Linked DNA regions of Sus scrofa. The protein of the gene in region 1 binds, or shares a complex with, the protein of each later gene. Links are inferred from orthologs where the notes say so. Each region holds a gene or a part of one and is shown on either strand. Other genes may lie near its edges. The genes, in order: SCTR and SCT.

Region 1 (7,445 bases):
GCATCTACAGCTTCCCACAGGGCACTTCTGATCCTTTTCTCAAAATACGCTGAGAGACACAGCCTCCTATTTAAAGACAAATGGCTTGCCACAGGTTAGAACTTTATTGAATTGCCCAGAACAAATTTCCTTTTGCTTTTTCACTGGAGATCACAAGGGTCCAATATAGAGCACAAATTACCTTGTTTTCTTTTTATGTCTTTCCATCAAAAAAGCAATAGAGACTGTGCTTATAGAAAATATTCAAGCAACACGAAAGTCTATACAGTAAAAATGGCAAGTTCTTACCTCACGCACTTTCTAATGCACATTTAGGGTGTCAGAATTTAGGGGACCCAGTTAATAATATTTTTTCCAGTCTCAATCTTGAACCAACAGGGAAACAAGATTAACACAGATGGGACCCTGTATCACTTTTATTAGTGATAATGCTGGTCTTGGAGAATGTGGTGTATACTTGTGGGCAAGCGGGTTTATTAGTGCTGTTTGTCTTAGAGAATGTGGTTTACACTTGTGGGCCAGAATTAGATAAATCACCTCCTGCCACTGGCTATGCTGGATCAAGGCAGTCAGAACCTTGACCTCCAATGGCAGCCTGGCCCAGGGCCATCTAGGTACAGGCTCTCTGCTGGTGGGAGTGCTGTGAAAGGCAAGAAGTGTGTGTGTGTATGTGTGTGTGTGTGTGTGTGTGTAACCTCATGCCAGTCCTCACCCCAAAGCATCAATCATGTAGAGTTTGCCTCACCTTCACATGTGGGGGAGGGGGGTTAATGAGGGGTAGAGAGAGGAAGATTACATGACCTCCTTCCTGCTTTCTGCTGCTCGAATAGTGCTTCTAACAAACTTGTGCATATTTCATTGGGCCTTTGGGTAAGTACTTCTACAGCAAAAGTTCCTAAAAGTGACTTAGTGGTTATGCACATATTAGGTTGACATGGACTGAATGTTGACTGCGGACCTGGGAGAACTAAAGCCATTTATCCTCCTTCTATTTTTTTAGGACCATACCGGAGGCATATGGAAGTTCCCAGGCTAGGGGTCGAATTGGAGCTACAGCTGCCAGCCTACACCACAGCCACAGCAACACCAGATCTGAGCCATGTCTGCGACCAACGGATCCCCGACCCACTGATCAAACCCGCATCCTCACGGATACTAGTTGGATTCATTTCTGCTGCACCACAATGGGAACTTCCTCCCCCCATCTATTTCTGCTATGGTTTATCAACCTCACCTCACTTGAGCAATAGCATCTTCAGTAGGGAAGGCTGCTAAAGGCTCCAGTAAGTTACTTTTTTTAGAGCCACACCCAAGGCATACGGAGTTTCCCAGGCTAGGGGTCAAATCGGAGCTACAGCTGCTGGCCTATGCCCCAGCCACAGCAACATGGGATCTGAGCCACCTCTGGGACCTACACTACAGCTCACAGCAACGCCAGATCATTAATCCACTGAGAAAGGCCAGGGATTGAACCTGCAACCTAATTGTTCCTAGACAGATTCGTTTCTGGTGGGCAAGGACGGGAACTCTGAGTAAATTACTTTAATAGCTGCTAAGTAGTCTGACCAGAGGCTAGCCACTCAGAGTTAGGGTCAGCCAGAGGTGTGTAGATCCAGGCTTTTCCCCTCTGACCTTCTGAGTCACATGTACCTGGTGACATCACTGGTCTTCCTCCACCCTCAATGCCCTCCTGTCTAACAGGCATAAAACCACCCAGGGGTTTGGAGAGAATTCAAAGGCTGATGTTCTTAAAGTGCCTGGGAGAAAGATGAAGGAGAGACGGAAAGATGAAGGAGGATATGGAAGAGGCATCAGGGCTGAGAAAGGAAAAAAACGGGTCTAACACCGAGGGGCCAAAAGCCAACCTCCAGGACTTCTGAGCACTCAGACTCAGGATGAACAATACTGAGCTATCTCCCTGTTGCTTAAATGACCTCCCGGAACCACAAAGCTTCCGGGGGTTCATCTTTAGCCCAGCTCCCAACGCCTGGGGCCAGTTGGTGGTTCTTGGTCTCATTTGATCATCAAAGCCTTCTCAGTGTGATGGAGCTCACGGGTGTAAATAAAACTTTCTGGAATGAGCATGTGTAGCTAATGGGAAAGAAATATGAAGTGAAAATTCGAAATGGAATAGCTGATGGGCAGAATGGATGCTACAGGGCTTTCCTGAGCACTCCTCTACATCACAGGACACTAACACAACCTCCCTACGTCCCGAAGGCGGGTATCATCAGATGTGTTGTTCCAGAGAACACTGAGGCTCAAAAAGGTGGCCTTCGTCGCGCGTCGCATGCAGCAAAGCGGTGGCGGGACTGACCCAGCCCTTAGGAGCGAGCTCTTTCAGTCCGAGGGGGTGTGGCAGCTGCAAGGCCGAGCCCGCGTGCTCGCTCCCGGTCTCCTCCCCCCACTGCCAAGCCTGCGGGAACCAGCTCCCCGCCTGAGCCCTCCCGCCCTGCTCCCCCGCCGGCCTCCGCGCCGGCCCCCAGCCAGTCCCAACTAGGTGGAGGAGCGCCGGCTGCGTCGCGCGTACTTATCAACCCGGCCCGGCGGCATAGCGCGTGCGGCCGCCTCGTGGGAGGAAGCGCGGTCCGGGGGTGGGGTGGAGTGCCCCAGTCATGGCTTTTCAGGGCGCAGCGCCCGGCCCGGGTCCGAGCGCCTGCGGGGGACGCTAAGCCCCAGAACTGGCTATGCGAGCGGGCTGGCGGCCGTCCGGGCGCCGAGGGAGCGCACGGGGCACCATGCGCCTCCGCCTGTCGCCGCTGCTGCTGCTCACCTGCGCTGCGCACACGGTGAGTACGCACGTCGCCGCCGGCCCCATGCGGGATGGGGGGTGAACGGAGACCCCCAGGATCCTCTGCTGAGGAGCGGGAACCCTTCCTCTGCATCCGTCCCCACCAACAACGATCCCCTCCTCTCCAGAGGCCGCTTCCTCCAAAATAAAAACAGCGTGTGCCCAGGAGAAGGTGGTCCTAAGATAAACCCCCTTGCCCTCCACCCACCCCTTCCTCCAAGCTGCGCCCCCGACCCCCTCCTAGAGAGCAATTCTGGAGCTGCCCCTGGCCATGCCTTTTGTGTGCTGGGCACTTTGCCTGCATTATCTCATTGAAACCTTATCATCGCCTTTCAAGGTTGATATTATCACCCTCACTTTACTGACAAGGAAACGGACACTTGGAAAGACCAAATATCTTGGCCCAAGAAAAGACAATTGGAACCCAATCCGTCTGCCCCCAAAGCCTTGACATTTTCACACACGCTGCCCAGCTGAGGATGGGAAAACGTCCGAAAGCTCTGACTGCAGCTGCCGGGTCTGTGATGGGACTGCTTGGCGCTCCCTGCCTCCTTTCTCCTGTGGGTTTGGCTCCCCAATGTCTGTATGTCTGGGGACTCCTGGGAGCGGCTGGTCTCCGCAAACCAGATCCTAGGAGGAGCTGGAAGAGAAAAGAGAAGGCAGCAGAGTGGGTGGCTTGTTTTTTCTCTCCCTCAGAAACTCTGGGGAATCCTGGTCCTCTCCCTGGGGGATTCCTGACTGAGAGAGGCAGACAGGCCTGATGGAAGCAATGCGGAGGGGTTCTTGGGGTGGGCTGTGGGCGTGCAGATTCCAGAACAACTCATTTCCACCCACCTTCCAAACTAGGCTTCCAAGAAACTCCCCAGGGAAAACGCTTGGTAACCCAATTCTGAGTCTTATCTCTGTCCTGGGCAAGTCCTCCCTGGTGTCCAATGACCTTATCTTTCCTGTCCTCCTTGATTATAAGAAAAATCTGCTTGGAGTTCCCGCTGTGGCACAACAGGATCGGCACCCTCTTGGGATCGCTGGGATGCATCGGATCCCTGCCTGGACGCAGTGGGTTAAGGATCCGGAGTTGCCGTAGCTGCAACTTAGTTCTCCACTGCCCCTCCACTGCCCCTCGGATCTGATCCCTGGCCAGGTGGGGCAGCCAAAAATAAATAAATAAATAAATAAAAATTTTTAAAAGGAAGAAAAAGAAAAACCTGCTTCCTGAGCTGATGGGAGCATTGACCCTCAGGAGGGGCCCAAGACCTTCCAGAGTGGGGGTTGAGGCTCTTGTTCCCAGCTCTCTTGTAACCTTGGAGCCTCTTATCCTTGGTGCTGGCGTTGGAAAGTGCTAGGGCAACAGCACCCACTCATTCCTCTGAGCTCTCAATTTGGGGAAGTGCCACCTGAGACACTGAGTGAGTTCAAAACCAAATGCAGCCAGGAGGTGTGCTGTTATTCAGTGCCCAATGGGAGGCAGCAGCTCCTCTTCGTGACACCCCACGCCCACGCCCAGCCTCCTTTTAAAGTATTTCCAGTAACTTCTGCTGTCAGAAGAAATCAACAGGTGGCTGGGCTTCAGGACTGAGGTTCAACCTACATTTTAATCTCAAGAGGACCTCTGTGTTATCCGGAATAAACAGAGGGGGAAAAGAGAGGCTTCACTGGGTTCAAGGCTTCCATGTGCCTTCATCACACCCTGGTCCAATTTCCTCTTTTTACAGGGGAGCAAACTGAAACCCACAGAAAGTGGGGGCCTGCTTCACATCAGCAGGTTTGTGGTAGCGCTGGGACTGGACTCCAGATCTCGCGACGCCTAGCCCCCTAGGGCTCCATCCATGACGTCCATGATGTCCCTTGTCATTACACATCATTTTCATCCACTCCTATACTGCTTTGTGCTACATGGTTCCCTGTGGGTACATCTTGGTTCTCTGGTTATTTTATGGGCTTATCCAGACCTGAGGGTCACACTTGGTAGAGAACTCCTTCAATAAATAGGAATGGAACTGACCTACTTCAGCTGGAGTATCTCCCAGCCTATAAAACCCTACTTTTATTCTGTTTGACTCTGAGTGGTCAGACATTTGATTTTGAAATTTAAGGGTATTCAAGTAATTCTTTATTCATTTGGGGCTTGCTCTTGAGGGAAATCATAGGCATCTTCCTAATGAGGGGAGGTTGATAAGTCCAAATCGCTTATTACTACTCCCCCCACCCCCACTACCACTGTCACCTTCCCATATAGGGCACGTCAGGAAGCTCCCTTACACGTGGACTAAAAGGTGATGGTGCTTGAGGGGGAAGTTTTCTGAGCCCTCCATTGGAAGCCCTGGCCACACCTCCCTTTACTGTGCCCCCTCCGTGTATCTCATGAGGACTTTTACCTGCAACAGTATTGTAATTATTTACCAGCACATCTGTCCTCTCCAGTACATTCACTTTGATCTTGAGCTCTGAGACTTTGCCTTGTTCATCTTTATCCCTAGAGCCTGTCAGTGCGAGAGGGACCTTGATGAGTGCATGTGGGTTGAATGGATGAATGAAATGATGATGCTACCCATAGTGGACGGTCTTAAGCTGGGGCAGTTTCCTATAGCAACAAGTAATGAAGAATGACACCCTGAAAGCAATCATTGCTTACCACATTGTACAAAAATGTGTCAAGCAAAGGAGAAGGAGTCGCTCAAGGTAGGGCTCTTTAAGCCAAAGCACCTGGCAAACTGCCAACCCGATAACCTTAGTGGGTTAAGTGGGGCACAGGGCTGCTTTTTCCTTCAAGCAGGATTTCTTAGCTTTGACACTAATTCTGAATCTTAATCCCAGGCTTTCCACAAGGGGTGACAGGAAGAGAGCCAGGCCCTCCCTTGACATGAGAGAGAATGATAGGATGGGGACGGTGGGGACAGGGCAGAGAGAGGGGTAGGCAGATAATTATTGCTGGGGGGCTGTCCTGTGCATTGAATGCTACCCACAGAATCCCTGGATTCTACCTACCAGAAGCCATTAGTATCTCTTCAAGCTGTGCCAACAGGAAGTGTCTCCAGACATTGCCAAATGCCCTCTGGGAGCAGGGAGGGCAAAACTGCCCCAGTTGAGAACCATTGCCTTAAAGGTTGTTATGTTTCAGGGTAAATGCATGAACAGGATTCATACCAGGTGTTCACTGGATGTTGGATTCAGGGTAGGGGGTGTTGGTGGCAGGGTGTCTGAGTCAGAGGACAGAAACAGGTGCACCCGATGAAAACCCATATCCAGACAAGGTGACTTCCCCAGGGCCTGGGTTCATTGGTCTTTGCCCCCGCTCCCTTTTCACTCTCCCCTCTCCATCCCACTCCTTTTCTGTTGATGGCTCAGAAACACACAAACTCCAAGGATGGGGTCCGACACATAGAATCTTCCAGCCCGTGGTGGTCCCTGCTCCTCTCAGGGTGCCTCTGGGTCCAGAGGCTGACAAGCTCTGTGGCAGCTTGGTGAGCAGAGTTCTCAGAAGCCTGCAAAGATCACCTGAGGGGGGCTGGCCACTGATACGCCTTAGGGGAAAGTTGCTGGTATTTTTGTATCCCTCAACAGTCACTTTCAATTTTCTGAGGAAGTATTTGTGGATTTCTGTTTACGTTTTTTACTCTCCCTAAAATTAATGTGACTGATGATGAAGATGAAGATGATGATGATGATGATGGGAAAGGCTTCTCTTACTGAACACTTATTTCACACCAGATCCTCAGCTGAGTCCTTCCCAGCACTGCCTGATTTCTGTCTCACATCAGCAGTCACCTTTATTGTGCAGATGAAGAAACTAAGGCTCAGAGAGGTGAAGCCGTTTGTCAAGGTTACCCAGCTAGCTAGACACAGTGGCGGGAGATCTCAAACCCAGGTGTTCCTACCCAGTACATGCACCTGCTCCCAGAGGCAGAGGCCTGCTCTGGCTTCTGGTGCCCAAGGGGCTGTCATAAAATTCTCTCCCAAACCGCAAAATGACAGTAATTTCAGTTTAATCTAATCACTTTATAAAACAAATATTGAAATTATACAGAGCGTTTTATGGAGAGGGCCAGAGATGAGCTTGGGGTCATGGAATCAAACAAACAGGAGGTCCTCTTCCCATACTGTTTAGGGGAGCCCTTGTGGCTTTGGCACCTCCTTCAGGAGTTTCCTTAAAGCTCCCCTCCTTCGGCCCCATTCCCAGGATCCCTACCTGCCATCCCCGCCCCTCCCCATACCAAGGAGAGCACAACTCTCTTGTTGAAAGCTCAGACCTAAAAACCAGGTTTAGAGCAGCTCCTGATTTGGCCCCCACATCCCTGCCCTTAGTGAGCCAAGGCTGCTCACTACTGACCTTCATTTGGGCTGTGGAACAACCTGTGGCCCACAACACACAGATCCTATCTACTTGCTTACATTACAAACAGAGGCCTGCCCAGCAGTTGGGAGGGCATAAGAAAATAGGGATATCCTGGGACCCACCCAGCTTCACAATTCTGTGTCTGACAGAATCCTCCGGGCATGTGGGGAATCAACACCCCTGACAGGTCAGGTCCTGCTGCCGTGGCCCATCATGCTGCCAGGGTCCCTGAGTTTTCCAGTCTTCTCCAGAATCCCCAGCTGCCTGACATCAGTTCCCTCCACCTTAGCTCTCAGAGGCTCCCCCTGATGTCCTCTAAAT
Region 2 (7,358 bases), on another chromosome or scaffold:
TACCCTCTGGGCCCCACCCTGGGGCTCCTGCCGCTGCTCCCTCCCACTCACCTCGGGCACCCCCCATTGCTTGGTCTTGTAGGGAAACACGGGCGGGTTGTCGTTGACATCCAGCACAGACACAAACACCCTCAGCTGGGTCACCTGGGGGAGAGAGGAGGGCCCCCGCGCCAGCAGAGTGACTCACGCTGGGAGCTGGGCTGCAGCTCCCAAGACAGCTCTCTGCCTGGGGCGCCTGCCCCACCAGCGATTACAGACAAGGAACAAAACCCAACTGACAAAGCACAGAAGGTGCAGCTGCCCTGGAGAAAAATAACACAGGACTGGGGGTGTGACCAGCAAAATCTCGAATGAGGAAAATGGCCACCCCGTGGAATGTCTTCAAACATAAATCTCAGAGACAATCGGGAAGCCCGTAGATTGAAAGAAACGTGAGACAGACATCAGCCGGTTGCATTAGGTGGGCCTTGCCTGGGTCTTGATTCCAACAGGAGGCTGGAGCTGGGGCGGATAGTGGGAGGGGAGGCTGGGGACCCCCGGCCTCTTTGAGGGCTGGCGCTCTTGTGCCAATGGCCAAGAAGAAGCATCCTTTATTTCTAGGGGCTCATCTAGAGGTATCTAGAGGCGGGTGGTATGCTGTGCTGTCGGGTCGGGCGCTCACAGGGCTCAGGGGAAGCTGCTGAATGGCAGGTGCAGGAGGCTGCGGGGGAGGAGCCTCTCTGCGGAGAGGCCTCAGATATGGGGAAGGTGGAGCTTGAGGCAGAGCCAACAGATTTGCTGGAGCAGGGGTGTGGGTGGGGGGCGGGAGTGAGGGCTGGGCTGCAGGGCCGGGCACCTCTGGGGGTGGGGGGCTTGGATCTCGGGTCAGGGCTGTCCTCTCCTTCCGGAGCCGGGGTTGGGAGTCTGTGGCTCAGGCAGAGTCTGGACTGAAGAGAGTGTGGGTGTCGCCAGCACAGGGCGACACTTGAAAATATACCAGTGGGTGAGGTCACCAGGGAGTGACCGTGGACCAGGCGGAGCAGAGCACAGAGGTCCAAACAGAGTGCCCTGACGTCGCGGGTGAGGGTGGGGCGGGGGGGGGCGGACTCACCACAGTGTCCCCTCTCTTGCACTCCAGGTGTGCCTGCAGCATCGAGTTCTCCTGTGGGGGCGGGTGGGTGCTGGGGGTCACCCGGTCCGCTGGCCGCGGCACACAGTCCCCATTTCACAGGTGAGGAGACTGAGGCCGACCTTTGTTTAGGGCCCCCATCACCCAGGCTGGGTCCAGAGGCCATCGGGCCCAATCGGTTTCCCTCAGGGCAGCCCTCAGCCAAGCCTGGGGCCCAAGAGGCCCCCTGGGGACACTGAGACCTATAGGTCCCCAGAAGGCCCATCCCTGGGAGGAATGCGTGTGCCCACACGGCCCCTTGGGGGTCCGCTGCCCCGCCGCCCTCAGGGGCCCCACCAGCCCCGCCTCCACCAGTACCTCGTAGTCCGGAGTTATGTTGAGAAAGAGCTGAGTCCCCCGGATGCGAAAGGCAAAGAGAGTGGACGAGGGTCCGAGGGTCACCTGCTGGTCCTCGGGGACATAGATGTCCAGCAGGGGCGCGCTGAGAGTCGTGTTCTCCTCGATCTCGAAGAAGGTCTGGTTCACAGAGCAGACTGGAAGTGGACGGAGGGTCAGTGCCCTCCAGCCCCCGTGGCCGCCCAGCCCCGCCCCCAGCCCCGCTGCCGCCCCCAGTACCCTGGGCCTGGGCTGTGGCCACGAGCAGCAGGAGCAGCAGGGGCCAGGTCCCCATCTCGGCAGCAGACAGCCCAGGGGCGGGTCCAAGCCTGCCTGGCGTCCAGGACCCTCTGAGCACCGTGGTGCTGGCGCAGAAGCTCCAACTGGGTGACCTTCGGCCCTGCCAGGCACCGCCCCACTTTATGAGCCCTTAGGCCCGGGAGGACCGGCCTCCACCAAGGGGACTCCCGCCGGCCGCCCGCCAGGCCTAGCCTAGCGCCAGGAGGGGCCACACGTGGGGGCTGCCGGGCTCCACCCACAGACCCCGAGCCAGGCAGGCTCCAAGGGCTGCCGGGGCTCCAGGGCCTGCGCAGTGGGGGCTCCAGGCGGTGGGGGGGGTGCGCGGGGAGGGGGGTCTGTGTTTGCTACCCTCCCCCACAGCCGGGCCCTGTTCCTAAGCCAGTCCCCTGAGATTCAGACCGTAGCGTTTCCGCGCCAGGCCCATCTCTCCTCCCCCAGCCAACCCTCTCGGTCTGGAAGGGAAGGGCTGTGCCCTCCAGACGCCCCTGCGGTTCCAGAAACACGCAGGCTTCCTCCAGGGGCTGGGCAGGGTCACAGTGACACAGATGGCACTGCTTCAGGGGGCAGCTGGGAGCTCCTGGGCGACCCTGGGTCCCAGCAGAGGGGGTTCTTGGTGTGGCTCCCTGGCCCAGGCCCCAGCGACCCCACCTCCATCTCTCCTTGGGCTCCCTGAGCCCAGCGCTGGGAGAGGCCACCCGGTGGGGCTGGGAGGAAGGGCAGGGGCTGCTGTGAAGGCAGAGCCTCTCCTGCCTCCAGGCCTGGAACACCTTCCCCAAAGTTCCAGGCCTGTGCCCGGCGTCCTACAGGACTTCCTGGGCTGTCAACACTGTCCCTTCTGCACAGGCTCTGAGTCAAGCCACTCGTCCGAGAGCACAGAACCCGAAAGGGAGCCAAGACACAGCTCAGGTCCTTTCACTGGGGTGTGGCCTCCTGGGTGACACCCCCTGTCTGTCACCTCTTCCTGCTGGGCCACAAGGCCCCAGAGCAGGAGCTGGGGGACATCTGAGCCTTTGCTGCACAGACGACCAGGGCGCGGATGGGGCAGGCGATAAGGAAGCGCTCCCCCCTGGCTCCCCAGGCTGAAAGGGCAGCTGGGCGTGGCCACGGTCCAGGCCTCCTTCCCTCTGACAGCGCTCCCCTGCGGGGGCTTCCTCGGTGGTACCCAGATGGCGCACAGCATGGAGCGGGCTCGCAGGGCCGGGATGAATTTCTCCTTTATTGATGCCAAGAGCAACCCTTACTCCCCCCCACCCTGCCCCTCCGCCAGGCTCCCCTTGTCCATGGAGGAAAGCTCCTTCTTCCTCAGGGTGGCATCGGGGACCCCTCCGCAGCAGGGATGGCTGGTTCTGACACCAGGGCCCCAGCCCTCAGTCCAGGAGGCAGCCAGGGAGACCAGGCCTGATCCACTGGGGGCTTCATGGGCATCCTGCAGAGACAGCCAGGTTAGGGGCGGCAGCCCGAGACCTCTGCACCTGGGGAAACCGAGCCTCCTCTGGTCACCAGCGCTGACAGTTTCACCTTCCCAGACCCCTGGCCCATGGCCGTGTCCAGTTGCTGGCCCAGGGAGGGAAGGGCTGGGCGTTGGGGCTGGCGCTCACCAGGCCTGCAGGGCGGGCATGTGGGACCACAGCTGGCAGAGGCGGTCCTCCCCAGACTTGGTCCAGGCCGTGTTGTTCTCCGGATCCTGCTGGCTGCCCCCCACCCCAAGTCAGAATTAGTCCGCAGTTGGGAGCGGGCCACCGTTCCCGCGGGGCTCCCCGCCGCCCCTCACCTGCGCTTCCCCACCAGGCCCTGCAGCAGCCGCTGCAGCCGCGCGCTGTCCCGCAGGCGGCTGAGCTCGCTCGTGAACGTCCCGTCCGAGTGTCGCGGGGCCCTGCGGAGGGGGCGGCGGGCGGGTCAGGGCCAGGCCGGGGTGCAGGCCGAGCGGCGGGCGGGCCGGGGTCCGCGGGCTCACCTGGGGGGCGCGGGGCGCGCGGCGCAGCCCGCGAGCAGCAGTAGCGGCGGCAGCAGCAGCAGCAGCAGCAGGGCCCGCGTGGCCATGGTGGGCGCGCCGGCGGGGGCTAAGCGGGCGCCGGACCGCGGCCCCTTTATAGCGGAGCCGCCGGGGCACCGCGCCGCGCCCCATCGATCGCGCGGGAAGGTCAGGGCCGCCCCCCCAGCTGTCGCCCCGGCTGCCTGCCCGCCCGCACCGCCGCGGTGGCGCCCCGCTGGGGTCGGGCGCCCCGGGAGCGAGGGGGACACCGCGGGCGGGGGAGGGCTGGCGCTTCCTGCAGGGGAACAGCCTGTGCAAAGCCTCGGGCTTCCCGGAGCCGCCACGGACGCTTAGGAGGCCGAGCAGAGCCCCGGCCAGGATGCGCGGAGGGCCCGGGGCGGGCAGTCGCGGGGGCAGGGCTGGGACCAAGGCCAAAGCCGCCGAAGCTGCGGACCGAGTGACCTTTCCCCACTGCGGGGCGTGGGGCTCCGGGAGAAGAGGAGCGGGGAGCGGCGGGCAGGTGGCGCACGGGCCGCGCAAGAGGGGGCCTCGCCCCCCCCCCCCGCCCCCGCGTTTGTTCGCGTTTTTGTTTTGTTTTGTTTTGTTTTGCTGCCTTTTTCAGGGCGGCATGTGGAGGTTTCCAGACTAGGGGTCGAATCGGAACTGTAGCCGCCGGCCTACATACACCACAGCCACAGCAACCCCAGATCCGAGCCACATTTGCAACCTACACCCCAGCTCCTGGCAGCGCCAGATTCTTGACCCACTGGGCGAGGTCAGGGATCGAACCCGCAACCTCATGGTTCCTAGTGGGATTCATTTCCACTGCGCCACGACGGGAATTCCAATTAGTAGACTTTTTTTAGAGCAGTTTGGGTTTACAGAAAAATGGAGCTGAAAGTACATGGACCTCTCTCTCAAACACACACACACACACACACACACACACACACACTTGCTGGCACACCAAAGGCTTCCTCAGCACTGGACACTCATTTGGGACATTTGTTACAACTGATGGACCAATACTGACACATTGCTATTAACCAAATCCATGCTCTGCAGTAGGGTCCATCTTGGTATTGCACATCCTGTGGGTTTTAACAAATGTGCCCTGACACGTGTCCGCCCGGATAGAGGGCGGTGCGCCGAGCGTTTCTCGGCCCTAAAACCCCCCTGGGCCACCTGTTCATCCCTCCCCCAGCCACTGATCCTTTTACGCTCTCCACCGTTTTACTGCCTCCAGAATGTCACAGAGCTGGATCCCACAGTGCGTGGCCTCTTCTCATTGGCTTCTTTCGCTTAGTGTTGTGTGTTACGGTGCCTCCTCGTCCTTCCGTGGCCCGATAGCTCTTTTATTTTTAGCACTGAATAATATTTCACGATCTGAGGCGCCAGTTAATCTGCTCACCTGAGGAACATCTCGGAGGTCTCAATGTCTTGGAGATTATGACAGAAGATGCTCCGAACAGCCAGGCGCAGGGGTTTGTGTGGGCATAAGTTTTCAGCTCCTCTGGGTCAGCAGCAGGGACCGCGACTGCAGGCTCACACGGCTTGAGTATGATTTTCCTTGGGGGAAACCACCAGACCATCTTCCAAAGGACTGAACAAGTCTGCATTCACACCAGGGCAGGCATGTTGGTATCTCGTTGTTTCCGTACACGTATTTTTTTTTTTTTTTTTTTTTGGCCAAGCCCACAGCTTGCAGAAGTTTCCAGGCCAGGAGTCATAGCAGTGACAACGTTGGATCCTTAAGCTGCTGAACAACCAGGGAGTTCCCGTATACGTATTTTTAAACAGCTTCTTTGGCCTCTTCTTGCACAAATTAGGCAGATTAAAGCCTGTAATAAACTGTAACACCGTTGACACTGACCCGTTAATTCCAGTCGCAAGAACACTCCCAACACCAAGTACTGATGTAACCGGTCGATTTCTTAGCACCTCAGACACTTATGCGACCAGACAGAACATCACAGGAAAAACCTTCCTGCTAAAAAGAGTGAGGCGTTCTCGCTGTGGCCCAGCAGGTTAAGAACCCAGCCTAGCATCCAAAACCAAAGACCAAAAGCCTCGTTCGACCCTTGGACGGCAGGAGAGCCCCAGAGAGGCCCAGGACGTGAACCCCTGCTCCGGCCTCATCGCACACCCAGATCCGCTCCTGTGGGTGCCTGGTCCAAGCCTCCACGCAGACCGCGCTCTGTGGGCCGGCCCATCCCGATAATTGCTGGTTTCAGGGACGGGATCCTACGAAAGAACGAGCAGCTTTATTTTCTGAGTGGAACGTAGGAGGGAGCACATTCGAAACACAGTTTGATTCTCTGAACAGCAACGTGCAAAAAATATTGTCTCTACTCCTTTCTTGTTTTACTCATTTGTTTAATCTTTTCTTTCTTTCTTTCTTTCTTTCTTTCTTTCTTTCTTTCTTTCTTTCTTTCTTTCTTTCTTTCTTTCTTTTTCTGGGAAAGTTCTGGGAACTCCAGAACTGCTGTTTTAACCAAGATTTAAATGTCAAACCTCAGGGAGCTCCCGTCGTGGCGCAGTGGTTAACGAATCCGACTAGGAACCACGAGGTTGCAGGTTCGATCCCTGGCCTTGCTCAGCGGGTTAAGGATCCAGCGTTGCCCTGAGCTGTGGTGTAGGTCGCAGGTGTGGCTCGGATCTGGCATTGCTGTGGCTCTGGCGTAGGCTGGTGGCTCTGGCTCCGATTAGACCCCTAGCCTGGGAACCTCCAGATGCCGCGGGAGCAACCCTAGAAAAGGCAAAAAGACAAAAAAACCCCAAAATGTCAAACCTCAGTTATTTGTGTCTGCTCTTGGTTCTCCGTGGCAAGTGTTGAAGGAGGGTGCTGGAAACACCTGCTTCTTCCAGATCACAACCCCTCTCCTGTTGCCCGCTTCCCTCGGGGCTGCGGACTCCCGGGGACTTACATTATGTTCAGCTGAACCCACTCTGTTACTGTGGTTCCAGGCCCGGCTTTGGGGATGTGGGCCTGGAATCCACAGTAATATGGTGTGGCCTTACGGTGGCCTGAGTGGACACTATCTCTTAATGACTAGAAAGAGAAACCTAGGTTTTATTATTGTAGAGAATTAAAAACACACAAAAGTAGGCGTTCCCTGGTGGCGCCATGGCTAAAGGATCTGATGTCGTCACTACAGCAGCGGAGGAGGCTGCTGTGGCGAGAGTTCCGTCCCCTGCCTGGAAACTCTTCCATATGCCAAGGCGTCAGCCAAGAAAAAAGGAGGAGAAGCCATCGCCAAATCCGAGGTCATAGAGATCGGCCCCTATATGTTCTTCTGAGGGTTTCGTAGTTTTGAATCCTTATTAAAGTCTCGGATTCCTCTCGAGTTCACTTTTGTGTGGGTGTGTTTGTGTGGGGGTGGGCTAGGGCTCACCTCCATGGCTTTGCACGGGGATGTCCGCGTGTCCCAACACCTCCTACTGAAGAAACTCCTCTCTCCCCACCAAACAGTCAGGGCACCTTGTTGGAATCAGCTGATTGCAGATGCACAGGCTCATCTAGGAACCTTCGCAGCTTTGTAGAAGTTTTGAAATCAGCGGTTGGGCCAACTTTGCCTTTCTTTTTCGGGATTGTTTTAGTTA

What was found.
Region 2: the proteins of SCTR (region 1) and SCT are in contact, whole or in part, in a cryo-EM structure (PDB 6WZG), measured with the Homo sapiens proteins. The link is inferred for Sus scrofa from reciprocal best matches to the Homo sapiens genes SCTR and SCT. Residues at the interface, in NP_002971.2 of Homo sapiens: Arg30, Leu31, Cys32, Leu35, Asp71, Asn72, Pro117, Val125, Val127, Asn128, Asp129, Asn132, Arg135, His136, Leu139, Leu140, Leu142, Lys143, Tyr146, Tyr150, Arg188, Asn192, Lys195, Leu199, Phe200, Ser202, Asp203, Val205, Met219, Phe222; in NP_068739.1 of Homo sapiens: His28, Ser29, Asp30, Gly31, Thr32, Phe33, Thr34, Ser35, Glu36, Leu37, Ser38, Arg39, Leu40, Arg41, Glu42, Arg45, Leu46, Gln47, Arg48, Leu49, Leu50, Leu53, Val54.

Annotation. Positions count from the first base shown.
Region 1 is NC_010457.5:31,705,279-31,712,723, forward strand, and holds the start of SCTR (secretin receptor precursor), read left to right. Parts: upstream 1-2,738; coding exon 2,739-2,789; intron 2,790-7,445.
Region 2 is NC_010444.4:380,820-388,177, forward strand, and holds SCT (secretin), read right to left. Parts: upstream 4,264-7,358; 5' UTR 3,824-4,263; coding exon 3,738-3,823; intron 3,657-3,737; coding exon 3,555-3,656; intron 3,475-3,554; coding exon 3,382-3,474; intron 3,210-3,381; coding exon 3,086-3,209; 3' UTR 1,964-3,085; downstream 1-1,963. Other genes in the region: CDHR5 (cadherin-related family member 5), read right to left, coding at 52-144, 1,091-1,141, 1,466-1,641, 1,724-1,778. UniProt on the Homo sapiens protein: Hormone involved in different processes, such as regulation of the pH of the duodenal content, food intake and water homeostasis.